Alligator mississippiensis: one gene and its partner. The protein of the gene in region 2 interacts with the protein of the main gene of each other region in a pairwise test. Links are inferred from orthologs where the notes say so. Each region holds a gene or a part of one and is shown on either strand. Other genes may lie near its edges.

Region 1 (7,307 bases), on a different chromosome or scaffold from region 2:
TTTACAGTTATAATAGGTTCCAGAATAGTAACTCACATATTAATAACTGCTGACTGTTCTTTTTGCAAGCTCTTTAAGACAAAGGACTTTCCTTGTATTTTCTGTAAAATACCTTAGCTACATATTAAGCTGCAGACATAATGCTTTCACAGGACAAACTTGCATGAGGTCTTATTTGCAACAAAATGAAAAATAAAGGGCATTAAGAATGCAGTCATGTGATTTGACTGGGGGGGGGGTTCTCATTATCTTCTGACAAAATTCAGAGTCCTTAGAAAAACTGTACAGCAGACTAGCAATACTAACATTTTCTCTGCTTTGATGTTGATCATAAGTTTAAACTTGATGAAATATAGTCTAAAGTGCACACCTGCCCTTGTAAGTTTAGTGAAAGAAAGACAGTTGCAGGGATCAATTGTACCAAAAGTAGTGTTTTATCCACGTATCTCTTCTCATGCTGGCCAGCCGAAAAAACCTGAGACTGACAGTAACTTCAATGAGTCCTTAAGAAACTTAGGTCTGTTACATACTTCCATCCTCAATCAAAGTCTCTCGCTGTAGCACTGTCAATGGTGAACTGATAGAATTCAGCAACACAACTTGGGATGGGCAAGTAGGCAGGGCTGGACATAGGCATGGGCAAGCCGGGAGGCCGCCTGGGGCCTGGACAGAAAGGGGGCCTGAAAATCAAAGACTTTTGCAACAAAAAAAACCCCTTATTTCTGGCAAAGGGGTGCCCAATACTAAAAGTTCGCCTGGGGCCTCCAGGAGTCTAGGTACAGCACACCAAGTGGGATACCATCCCTGAGTGACAGATTAGTAGGGGTGCCAGTATCACCCCCACCCCTTTGGAGTCTCAGCAGGAGAAGCAGCCCCATGTACAACATCACTCTTGCAACAGCAGCTGGGTGTGTGGACACCATGCTGCTGCTGTAAGAGCAACAGCCAGGGTCACGCTGTTCCCCACTCCCATGTGCTCTCTTGGAGGGTTTACCCAGGGCGTAAGCCATGCTCATTATGCCTCTGATAGAATTCACATACTCTGCAGCCCTATGCAGGCAGAAACCACACTTCCTAGTCTGATTTATGCTCCTGATCAGCCTCCATGCTCTCAAAGGCTGTTTTCAAAGGCTGGGAGCGGGGAAAGGGCTGAAAATGAGAGAAAAAAATGATTGGGGAAGACAGAGTGAGGGAGAAATCAAAGAGAGACATCTGAAGGACTCTCAGAGATGACAAATGGTTAGAGGAAATGTGAGGAAAGAAAGACATGGAAAACATGACCATCAAGAACTACAAGAAAGAGGGATGGTCAGATTTTCTTATCTTTCCCCCCAAGTGCCATTCCCTTTGGTTCAAGTCTCCCTTTTAACCATCATAAATATTCCCAAAACAGCCTACATTGCCTGAACTTCTCCTGGAGCATACATTCTAGTTTTTCACTTTGAAAAACACTCACTTTGAAGATCAGCTGGACAGAACAAATCTACTGTGAAGGCTCTTGTGATCTAACTCATGACATTTTTCAGAATGAAAGAAAACTCTGTAGGCACACAGAGTACACATTCATAAAGTGGAGGGAGTTAAAGACAGTCTTGAAGCAGACAGCACCAGGGAAAATGTAGATTGAAGTGAATATACAAATTATTAACAATCTACACAACTGTTCACCGGGAAAAACTAAAGCAAGAAGCTCAACTATTTTTGTAGACGGAACCCATCAATACGCTTGATGGAACTTTTCAACTTGTAGAGTTACAAAGATAATTTTCTGCAAGTGAACTAAATGTGAACCTTTTAAATGTGAAATTATGTAAACTAGCAGTTCCCAATATGTGGTATGCATATAACCACTGGTACTCAGACAACCTGTCAGTGGTACCCGTTAGCAGATTTGTTATAATTTCTTTATATGACAAAAATTTGCAACAAAAGGTTGAACTGAAAAATTTGCTGGTAGTACTTAGGTTGTATCTATTTAAACTGGTGGTACACAATCTGTCAGTGTTTGGGAACCACTATTGTAAACCAATGCAATGTTGTCTTTTGAGCCTGCAAACTCCACAACTTACAGGATGTAACAAGACATTATTTATTAGGTTTTGTTTTCATAAGTGTGAACCACAGCTCAGTCTTCTTCCTAAACTGACAGATGTCCTCTACTAGCAACCTAATCTGCCCCCCACGATGTTAGATTAAAATGAATTGTGATTTTGATGTGTATAGCCACAACTGAAAGGACTCTCAAGCATACTTCTGAAAACCTCCAGAAGAAAAGACCAGATATATTTTTCAGTTACATTAGTTGAACTGCACATATAAGTCTCATGTTTGGTTTGGAAGTGCATGCAGTCTGAGACAGTAGGAATCTTTGTTTGTTAACATAATGAGCCCAGTATCACACTTGATGAGTTTCCTGTTTTCCATAGATCAAACAGTTGGTGCTGGAAGAGCAGATAGAGTTGGTGACCTTTACTGCTGGTCACGGGACATGTGGCATTAGCTACATTACCAATTCAATATGCCTTGTCCTGTACTTTAGGATCATCAAGGATCCCACTAATATCCTCACCTCCGTTTCCAAACATAAGCATTTCCAACCTTTTTACAAGAACTGCAAATACAGGCTGCAGTATGCTGCTCCGTGCTATAAAATGCACAAATCCTATATTCGTGCTTTTAATATGTACATGCACCCAGGCAGTACTTAAAAACACTTACAGGTTTTTGGAATCTTCCAGGTGCACAATGACTTTTGCAGGACTAAAAAACTAAACTCATCCAGGATTTACAAGATTAAGCCTGTCTAAGAATTTACAAATCATAGCAATAGCCAAAGATAAAAACAGATCATGGATTACAAGTAACATATAATGTCTTGAACAACTACATGAGGATTTCTTATAATCTTAAAGAGTTTAAATGATAGGCTACTTACACATAAAGCAAAACAGGCATGTTTTCTGGAAGCTTTTCTTCATAGGATGATATATGAATTTAATTAACAGTAAAAAAGAACTCATCTGCTGCCAAAGAATCTATGTAGCAAAGCTAAACAGAAGAAACAGAGAAGTTAAAGCAGAATTTTACAAACATGTACAAAAATTAACTAGAGCCCAGCTGATGTGATCCCAGAAGAATAAATGCATTTATTCAAGTGGGATATTTATTACCAAGTGAAATAAAAGAAACCCTCACAAGAGGATGCCATTTAATCAAAATATCTCTTCATTATGAAGATAGAAGTAAGTTCTCATAGGAAAACAACAGTTAGCAAGGCAAAGGGAATGTCTAAAGTTTCTCTATCATTATCAGCAAATGATTTATCTTGGAACTTAATCAAGTTAATAAAATACACTCCATTAAAATAACCTTCAAATTAAAACAGCAACTTTTTATAAATGACATGGGCAATCAGCGTCTTCAGGTCACATCTAGTACTGTAAGTAAAAACGAAAATGTTGTAAGTGAACACAGCCATCCCCACATACAAAGGAAACACATTTGGGGGATATCTAATCGCTATTTTCCTATTGTTCTAGTGTATCAGGTTTACCAAGTAAATTAATTGAAGCATCTGTTAAATGCCCACTACTTCTAGACATTTAACATATACTGCCATTAATCTACTTGGCTGGACACTGTGTTCAATGAAGTAAAGTTTAAAATAGTGTTCAGAATTGAAGTGTTAGTTTATTTAAATTACAGCAGCAAGAAGGTAAATATCATGAGGGACCTATGACAACATTATTTTTAAATGCAAAGAAAAGGACAAAAGCTTTTCCCAAAATCAGGAAATCAGAGGTAGTCAACAATTACCCCAAATACTCTGCCACAGGCAAATGACTAGCCTTTATTATGTTCCTTCCACTCAAAAAAGACAAATGGGCCTCGTATCATGTCCTGAATGTCACAAAAGTTTTAGAGCAAGAGAATGGAGTGAATGTCAACATCCCTTCTCACTTTGGTTGCCACAGGTTACTGGTAAACCAAGTTTTTCCACCTAGCAAGAACAAGGACAGAAGAAGAAATATAGAGACTATTTCATAACTGAGGACAAAAGATCAAGATAAAGCAACAGAGGTGCATGGTAAGGGAACAGTATTCTCCCTCCAAGCTCTCTGGAGATCAGGATAACCAGCTTACAAGGATGGCTATCATCTAAACCTGCCCCCCTACTCAAAACTGCACCATCATGTAATACCAGACATGTACCAGGATCAAATGCTACTTACCCTAGAGCAATCCTAACACAAACAGAAGATCAAGAAGGACAGACAGCCCTCCGTATCTGAGATGGCTCCATTTCAGTTTTGCTAAATATACTTAGTTTGTGAAAGGTCCTAAGATACTTTAGGATGAAAGTAATGTATAAAAGATAAAGCTCACCCCAATTGTTGCATCAATGTTTTATTAAAGTAAGAGGCAATATTAAAAAAAACAAAAAACAAAACATGACTGGTATTAGCATAATTACTGCCTTCTAAATTGTGCCATGACTCTGGAGTTCAAATGCTTCCTTTGACAAAGAAGAATAAGTATGTCAAATTCTGTCATGGCTCATATGTTAGCAAATGGTGAGTCATGTGTTCACTGAAGTATGAAGTGCCTGAAGGACCACGTAATTTTCTACTGGAGAATTCCTCCAGAAAAGCAGTTAAAAGTTTATTTGAATGGGAAGGAAATGGGGCTGTTTTTGAAAAGAACATGTCTTTAATTCTGCCTCTGAACTTGAAATACTGGGACACCCACAAAGACAAGGGTGCTTGGTAATTGCCCAAGGATCTATGCTGCTCCCAGAGCAGCTATGCTGCAGCATGATCCCTGCCAGCCACTGCAAAAATCTCCCCTCTTAATATATTTGTAGTGACAAAGGAGGAGTTATTGCTAGTTCAGTCAATTTGGGGTATATTTTCTGACAAATCTAATCAGGACCCAAGAAGAGGGCCCACTGTGGCAAAAGTTTGTCAATCCCTGCTTTAGAGAACTCTGTCTGAGATTTTAAAATACAGAACTGGATTTTGTTATCACCAGAGGGAGCTGTAGTATCGTAAACCCATGAACTCTTGTTAAAAATGCACACTGCATTGACTTCCCTAACTAGCCTTAATGCAGCTGGCAAGGGAAAGAAAAAGCAAAGGATGAACATTTCCTGTATTCCAGAAGCTTTTTATGTCTAATTTATTAGAGACCTTACTTGTCCAAAGTTGGTCTCACAAATAACAGGTTGAGATGTCTTCCAGAAGGTCTGAGGTGTTGGGATATGAACGGAAGGGAAGACAGGCAACTCATCCAGTCACAACCATCTATCAAATAGCTTTTGGGGAATTTCAAAAATTCAAAGGCTAGTCAAATACTGTTTGCAGATGTTATTCATCAAATGCTGGTTAAAATCACTGAATAATATATTCAGTGGATATTAATTTTTCTGTTGTTTGGGCAGCCCTGGTAGTAAGGTATATTGAGGATACCCCATGTTCTTGGGAACAATAACTATGCCATTCATTCTCTGTGTATGAAAAAACATAGCCATTTTGGGTGCTACTTCATGTAAAATAACAAGATAAAGGTAGCAGTGCTATAATGAAATATTCTGCTGAATATGAAAATATTGCATTTTACACATAGAACCAATGACATTCTCACAGGCAGATCTTGCACCCAGAAACTTATCCTGCATCCAGTATCCTCTCCTTCAGTCAAGAAGGGGATACCGGAGATATCAGCAAAATGGTATTTCCTTAGGCTAATCACCACCACCACTCAACAGTAGAGACTGTTCACAATTTCAATTCATACCAATGTCTCCAAAAACCGCATTAACATTAATACCAGATGCTTGGACTGTTCCTTGGGTTTCACCTCACATTCTTGTACTTTCCAATTATTTCATAGCATTTCAGAGATTTTGTTGTCAACATCACTGAGCTAACTGAGGCAAAGATTCACATCTGTCTTGTTGTGGCTGTGATGGTCCAGGAAATATATGAGAAGCAAGGTTTTATTGCTCATATCTTTTATTAGACCAACTGTATAGTTGAGAGAGATGTTAGATGAGCCTTTGAGAACAAAGTGCCCTTCTTTAAGTTTGGTAAAGAAGCTTAGGCTGCCTTGGTCCTAATTTACAAAAAAGTTTTTAACAAATTAAGTCTCAGATACATTAAAGTCCAAAGTCTATTCTATAAGCCACAATGATTGCCCTAATCCTCTTGGAGGAATGAAAAGCACAAAAGCAGGTGAAAGCTGGGGACACAGTATTATTTTTAGATAGAACCAACTCAGCTACAGGAAACACTTCCAGAGACAAATGGGTAAATATGGTCTCATTAAAATCACCGCAAAGTATTTCCCTTTGAAAAGACCTTTCTACCTTAAGAGTGAAAGTGACAGTAGGGACATACCGTCTAACAAACTAACAACCAAAAGGAGAGAAAAAAAGAATTAATAAAATCTAAAAATCAAACTCCAAGCCCCTTCCCCAAAACGGAGAACTGTCAAAGACTTCACTATTGATACTGATTTTATACAGTGGAGATAGATATACCAGAGGTAAGCACCAATATAAAACCTTAAAATAGGTTGTGATTCTGTCCATTTTGGAAACTAAGTATGATAGTTATAGTAAATATTCGAAAAGCTATTCAGGATAATTCATCCAAGGAAGTGAGATCAGCCTTTTCTATTTATTTTGTGCATACATGAAGTTGCTAGGCTAAACAGGTACACAGAAAAAAATGTTCAGCTGCATTATTTATGGTCACACATGAAATTACTGTTATACAGAAACCTAGTAGATCATCCAGAATAAACTGCTGGGTAACTGAAATGTCACATTTGCTTCTGTCTGAAAAATGTGTGAGTAGGAAGATGGAGGAATATTTGTTTCCATGAAAGGCCTTTATTGATGAGATCTCTGTTGAAATTATATTTAAGGATTAATATGTTTAATCCTCAAATTACTATTTTTCTCATGTTCAGAGCTTTGATGGCAGCATTAGGCATGGATATATTTGAGAGGATATGAGAATGAGAATAGCAATAGACATGTACCAACTTCCATATTATTTAATTATAGGTAAGGAAATTACTTCTCTTGCAATTCTGCTTCTTAAAAGATAAATTTCATTGAGCTCTTATTCTTGAACACCTCATCTGAACCACTCTCAGATGCTGGTCCCTGCTTGACCTTGGCCCCATCCCATCCACCCGGCTGAACATGCCCTTTCATGGACTGCCAGGGTGGATGGGCAGGGGTGCTCAGACAGCAGGGCCAGGTCTGGTGGTGGTGGCAGCAGAGAAACTGGCAGCAG
Region 2 (6,961 bases):
TATTGACTAATCTCAGTCTGGGGAGGCTGAGCACATGCATGATCTCAGTCTGGCGGGACTGAGTGCAACTGTCAGAGGCTCCATGTCCTGCCATTGGGTGGGCAGGGGGCAAGCCTCAGCCCAGTGGCGAGACACATGTGGCCTTGTGCCACTCCCAGAATAGCTGCAGTGGGGCTTGGAGTGCAAAGTCCAGTGTGCAACAGCAGCTGCCTCCACCCTGCATACAGATCGGGGAGGGCACGTATCCCCCAGGTGTCCACCGGGATGCATGTAGTGGCTGGAGCCTCCCCACCCCACACCTGGATAAGCCTCCTGGGCTCCAATTGTCCCACCACCCAGCCCAGGCAGGACCACACTCACCCCAGCACCTGCCCCTACCCCCCTCCCTCCCTCATTGCAGGGGCCTCGATTTGCTCCCCCCCACTTGCAGGGGGGAGAGGTGCGATAGATCCTAGGTTGCACTTTAATTCACAAAGGGATCTGGTACTTAAAAAGGTTGGAGACCACTGCTTTAGTGGTACCGCGCTTTTCCCACCCCCCCAGCGGTACCATATATCAGTACCACCATGCACGCCCTCCCCACCATTGCACTTCATGTCCCTCCCCATCACTGCACAGTGCCTCCTCCCTCCCCCACTACAGTGCATGCCTAAGCAGCCCTCTGCTGCTGCATCACTCCACTGCATGTGCCTCCCTCCACTACATCACACACCACTTCCCCCCCACTGCACCATGTGTCCAGGTACCCCCCATCCCCCCTCACTACTGAACGATAAGCCTTTTCACCTCACTGAACTGAGCAACACCACACTGCACCACACACTGCTCCCTAACTCCCCCCCCACCCACAACAACACCAGTGCCCAAGTGCCCTCACTCATCTTCAGCTCCCCAGCCACAGTCTCCCCTGCTGCATTTCACCTTAAGGCTCTTTCAGCAATGCAGGCTGTACCATGCTGCAGGAAGGAGAAGCTGGAGGGGAAAAGGAGCCCAGAGTCCCTGGCTGCTTCTGTAGCTGAAGCAATGGGAAAAGTGGTGGCCAGGTGGTAGCCCAGGGCCACAATGTAACCCCCCATGGACTGCATGAAGCCCACAGGTCACCAGCTGGAAAGTCCTGTTGTAGCCCAATAATAGGCAACATCCAAAATAGGCATAAATGCCATTTGAATTGCAATGACCCAAACCTGACCCACACACCTGGGTGGCAGTAAGTCCCACCTCTCAGCTTTCTGGTGAAATTGCAAAAGTCAATCTGGAAAGTTTGCCTTATAGACGACATGCACATTAGTTGTGAAAGAGAGATCCCAAAACTTCCATTCCAATGAAAGGCCCAAAAAGTTAACTTTCCTCCCAGGCTTCGCTTTGCTACCACAATAAGTTAGGACAAGGCTGTCAAAAAAGGCCTCTTCTGTGGCTGGAGGGCCTGAGTTGTGAGCTGCTAATGAAAAGGCTGGCAGTTCAAGTCTGGGTGTGGGCAAATAAGTGTAAGTCTCAATTTATTTCAGCAAGAGAAGGCTGAGAGGGGGAGCTGGTGACCATCTATAAACTTACTAGGAGGGACCAGAAGGGTTTGGGGGAGACCTTGTTTCCCCTAGTGCCCCCCAGGATAACAAGGAATAATGGCCACCAGTTGTTGGAGAGTAGGTTTAGATTAGACATTCATAGGAACTACTTCACAGTCAGGGCGGCTAGGATCTGGAACCAACTTCCAAGGGAAGTGGTGCTGGCTCCTACCCTGGGGGTCTTTAAGAAGAGGCTTGATGCCTACCTGGCTGGGGTCACTTGAACCCACTTTTCTTCCTGCCCAGGCAGGGGGTCGGACTTGAAGATCTACAAGGTCCCTTCCGACCCTACTTCTATGATTCTACGAAAGACACAGCCAATGGGCCAGATCTGACCTGTAGAGTCCGACACACAGGCAGCCCTGTGGGCTTGATGGTCTCCAATCCGCACTGCATGCAGCATGTACTAGCTTTAGACCCATGAGCTGCATGCAGTGCATGGAGCCCATCTAGCACAGACACCCCGGAATTAGGATTGTCCAGGATTGAAATTAAGCACACCATGAAATTAAGGGCCAAATTCAAATTAAGGGACGAATTTCCAATGAGGAACCACAGTCCTTAACTGACAATAAATGTGGACTGGTCAGAAAAGCACGCAGCACCAGTGTACAAAGCTGCTTCTTGCCAGTTCCTCAGACTGGCGTATCGGACTCATAAGAGGATCACAGGCCTTACACCCGCAGAGCAACAGTTAGCCCCCCTTGCTCTTAGAGGGGGCTATTGGGTACTCATCAGCTGAGCTCGGGGGAAGACGGCTCCACAGTCCCCAGGCCCGCCCCCCCCAGAGCCTGCTTCCTAAGCCCAGCGACCTGGGAAGCAGCATGGTTCTTCCTCGCCTTGTCCAAGCCAGCTGCATTGCTCCTACTGCAGCTGGCTGCACAGGCACTATCTGGGCTCGGCTGCGGCCGGGCCAGGAGCCACAAGAGCAAACCAAACACTTTTACCATCGCTGACCGTCCATGGTAAAGGGGTTGAAATGATCGTACAAACAGGATCATTATCGTACACTGGCAACACCGCCGCCAGCACGCGGCTCCCCGCCCCGGGGTGCTCCCTACACGGCCCGCTCGCGGCGGCCCCCGCGCCCGCGCCCGCGCCCCCGCCACACGCGCCCTCGCCCCGAGACGCCAAGCGCGCACTCAACCGTCCCGCCGCGCCTGCCGGCTCCCGTCAGCCACTCGACCCAAGGCGCATGCGCACCCGCCGCCAACGCAGCTCAAGGATCCCGCCAGCGCTACAAGTGATTCCTCTGCGCATGCGCTAACCCTCTCCCCACGCCGCTTCAAGGGGGCGAAGCTGTCTTCAGTGCTCGCCCCCGTGGACTTCCTCTCGCACTTCTGCTCTCGCTCTAGAATGGCAGAGTTTTGTCAGGGGCTTGTAAACCTGTATTGCGCATGCGCCTGCTGTTTCGGCCACTTCTAGCATGGCGGCTTGGCTGGGCTGTCGCTAGTGCTGCGTTCTGCCGTCAAGCAATACCAGCCGTAAAGGGCCCTGGCCCCTCTCTTTTGCGGCGGTGCCGGAATATCGAGCTGGATACCGTCTTCACTGCAAGCGGCTCCGGGCCGGGGCGGCGGCTGCGCCAGGTGGGTGCGGGGCGCGAGGCGCGATGGGCCGGCGCCACCCGGGCCCGGGCAGAGCAACAATGCGGACCCCCCCTTCCCTGGGTTGATCTGCTGCTCCGCTAGCTGTCCCTGCCTTGTGCTCCCTCCCCCAATCTGCCTCTCTGCTGTCTGCTCCCTGCCCTGTGCTCCCCACCCGAACTGCTGCTCGGCTTTCAGCTCCCTGGGGTGCCCTCTGCTCTGCTTCCCGATCTGCTGCTCTGCTCTCCGCTGCCTGCCCGTCCCCTCCCTGTCTGCCACTCTTAGGGGCTGCCCATGCCACTTGTGACACACATACTGCAGGTTGGTCACTCCAATGCAGGCAGAGAAGAGGGTGAGGGAATGCCAGCATGATAGGCCAGCAGCACGAGACAGAAAAGCCTGGGACCTTGCGCTGGCCTAGGAGAAAGGCAGACTCCACAGCTGCCACCTGGGCTCAGAGCTGGCTGCCTGCGCTGCTGAGACAGCGGCTCTTAGCGTCAAGCCACCCTTGGTGAGAGAGTTCAGGAGGAGCTGGGGACCTTGCACTCAGCAGAACTTCTGCATGAGAAGGTTCTCAGTAGCCAGGAGTTGCTGGTTATTGCTGTCCACTCCCGAGCCTGGTTAACACCAGCAATAGCTGCAGGAGAGCGTTGGCAGTGCATACAGCAAAGACGAGAGACAATTGAATAAGAAATATAGAATGTGCTCTTTACCTAAGCCGTACCAGCACAAGCCATACATAGAAAAGTAGCAACTATCTCCTTCCTCCGTCAGCACAGGCTTACAGTCTATAGGGCTATGTTGACTGAAAGAACAAACATACCTGCATGGCAAACAAGGCAGGAGGAAAGCTTAGAAAGGATTTAGCATCTCCAGGGTATTCCCAAATTGGGAAGAACTCTGGAGATGGTTTTCCTAAAAGCAGAGGAGAAGATAATTTTTCTGAGACCACAGAAATGGAGCAGTGGTCAGTAAGCGCTTGTTACTGTTTTTGGCATTTAGGGTTGGCACCTGCAGCTTCCAGACTGTCAGGGATACTGGTGTTGGCAATGATTCAGTTACTGCTGATCTTGAGGGCTTACAGAAAACAAATTTTCAGGGAGCTTATAGGCCTTAAATTGTGGGTAGATGATTGATAATGGGGGTGAACTTCAAGAAGCATGACATTTGCAGAGAAGATTGCAGCAGAGTGAAAGCTTTGAGTCAAGAGGAAGTTGTAGCCAAGGCACATTTAATGCTTTCCAGGGAAAATGTTGGAAGTTGAAACGCAAGTAAAGCATGTACTAATGGAAGGCGTATTCTTCAGCAGATAGTCTAAGGCAGCATTTCTCAACCCATGGGTTGCAACCCAAAAGTGGGTCGCAAGAATGTATGAAAGGATCACCAACAAACTTTAAAAATGGATTCTCCTTTAAAGGAGGAAAACATGGGGAACTGTGGGCTTTCCCTTGCAGGCTGGTGTTTACAAATGCATCCTGGTACAAAAACATTGAGAACCACTGGTCTAGGGGACTAAACAGGTTGGTCCCTACACACTACTCAGCCTCTGCCTGCTCCCTGGCCTTCCTTACTAGTCTGCAGCATCTGAGATCTGTCAACTCCAGTTGACCATGCCTTTGAGAATGCCTCCCTCATCACAGGGCTCCCAGCCAAAGCTAAACTGTAGGCAAGAGGACAGTGTGATTTGACCCCTCAAAGTATCAGACCATTTCTGTGGCCTCCCCTACCCACAGACTTTAAAGTTCTTTTAAGCATTTCTCCAAGTGCCCTTCACATGCAGCCTGATCTTTGCCCGCTGTTTGCTCTCTTTTTGCACTTTTTTAAAGTCAGATGTTCCTCCTCCTGCTCCCTCCCAAGTTGCACTGATAACTTGTTTATTGCCCAAGGTGTTTAAAGGCATAGTTACCTCCAGGTTTTCCCCTCCCTACATTTAATTTTTGCGCTTTCTGTTCATATTTAATGGAAAAATAAAGGTTGTGCTTCCCAATTAAAAACAGCTTGATTATTCATGCCATGGTATTTCAGCTTTCAAACTAGCCAAATAAGCCAAGAAGGTAAAGAAATCTGGACCCTCAAAGTAGCTGAAACATGTGAAGCAAGCAGCCCCTGTGCACGTGCTGCCTAAATCTCCTAGCTAGGGGTAAGCAAAATACAGCCTGCAGGCTGGGTTCTGGCCTGCCAAATAATACTATTAATCCCACGGCTGCTCCTCTGAAGGAGAATTGTATCAGGGCCACTTAGGGAGTTTTGGTGAGCTTTTGGGAGGGGGAGATGCTGAGCTCACCAAAACTCCCTAAGTGCCCCTCCAGCCCAGATAATTGTCCATCCCTGTCCTAAGCTAAAGTGTACACAGAGCACAGGTCCCGTATGGTTAAAGATGTTCCAGGCATGAACTGTCAAGTGAGCAGTATTTGTAAATCAGCAAAGCACATAGGAAATGGCATAGCAACCCCAGGAAACTGATAACACTGAAACTCCAAACCAGCCCAAATGTACTGTGTTCTGCTTACAGATTCATGGCTACAAAAGGGGCTCCCAAAAACTGAATCTCCAAGCTGGAGCCAGCAACCGCTGCATCAAACATTTAGGCCATGTGGGTCAAATAGGTACATAAAATGCCCCAGACAAGGTGTCTCTGTCTACTGCCATTCTGGAATAGGTGGCATAAGCTAATTGCTTAAGAGTTGGCCGCTTTTTACTAGTGCTGGGCCTGCACTTACAACATGGCCACCACTGCAGGCCACCAATCTGCCACTGTCCCAGATCTGCAAAGAACTGCTTTCTTGCTCCTGTAATGCAGCTTCTGCTGAAAAGTACGCCTCTGAAAACTGAGAAAACTTGTGGGGCAGATGTGGCCCACAGGTGTTGGCTGCCAATGCAAGCCTTAAACCATCATTCCTGTCTTTCTGTGCCAGAATTGGGTCTTGGAGCCTTGTGCTGTTTCAGCCCCGTTTTATAAGCTGGAATCAGGCCTCAGAGCCCCACCCAGCCCCTTGTGTCCAGTCTAGCATGCAAGGTTACAGCCTTGGGGCTACCCACACACCTGTGGAGAGCTCTGCAGGACAAATGACATTGCACTGGGGCCCAGATCTGCCCTGTGGGCCAAGGTTTGAACATGTGTGCTGTAAAACGTAGACTCCTGGCTACCCTTCAGGTATGTGGTCTGCTCTGCATAGCAGGAAATACCCGACATCGCAGAGGACTGGCTCTCTTCAGCCTGTGCGGAGATGCATACAAGCACAGCTGGAGTTCTCTAAAGAAACTGAGCTGCAGTTAGTCAGCATAAGGAGCCATCAGATTGCACCAGTTCTCTACCCATTTTTCATGTTTTTTGGGGCACCACAACAGAGAGGAGTTTGTGAGCTTGGCTCAAAACTCACAGCATAGGTCTACATGAGCAGTTCTCAACCTCATTAGACTCAAGGCACCCCTCAGACAATTCCAGCTTAGTTTTCACTTACTCTTCACTATAGAAAGATAACAGAGCAACTTTTTTGTTGCAAAGAACTCAGAGAGAACACAGCAGGTGAACATTCCTATTTGAAATTGCTAGGTTTATCTTGTGAATCATGTCTGCACATGTAACAGCAAATATGGTATGACACCCCATGAAAAGATGTCAAGACAACCTAGGGTGCCAGGGAACCCTGGTTGAGAATCACTGGTCTGCATAGGCAGCACTGTGTAGCAGTACCCAAGCTAGCTTAGTGGGCACTAGATTGCAAGCCAGAAGCCATCAGCCACATTCATGTAGTGCTGTACCCAAGCACTGCTGAGAAATGGAGCCAGTTAACCAGGTACAGCACCAAGGTATAT

Evidence for each region. The genes of interacting proteins can lie anywhere in the genome.
Region 1: the proteins of RAD54B (region 2) and TCEANC interact in a two-hybrid assay, tested with the Homo sapiens proteins (2 studies listed by BioGRID). The two-hybrid records come from large-scale screens. The link is inferred for Alligator mississippiensis from reciprocal best matches to the Homo sapiens genes RAD54B and TCEANC.

What each region holds. Positions count from the first base shown.
Region 1 is NC_081824.1:324,616,336-324,623,642, forward strand, and holds the start of TCEANC (transcription elongation factor A N-terminal and central domain-containing protein), read right to left. Parts: upstream 3,023-7,307; 5' UTR 2,936-3,022; intron 1-2,935.
Region 2 is NC_081826.1:43,510,668-43,517,628, reverse strand, and holds the start of RAD54B (DNA repair and recombination protein RAD54B), read right to left. Parts: upstream 2,960-6,961; 5' UTR 2,949-2,959; intron 2,919-2,948; exon of another isoform or gene 2,705-2,918; intron 1-2,704. Other genes in the region: RING finger protein 151, read left to right, coding at 2,960-3,148. UniProt on the Homo sapiens protein: Involved in DNA repair and mitotic recombination. May play an active role in recombination processes in concert with other members of the RAD52 epistasis group.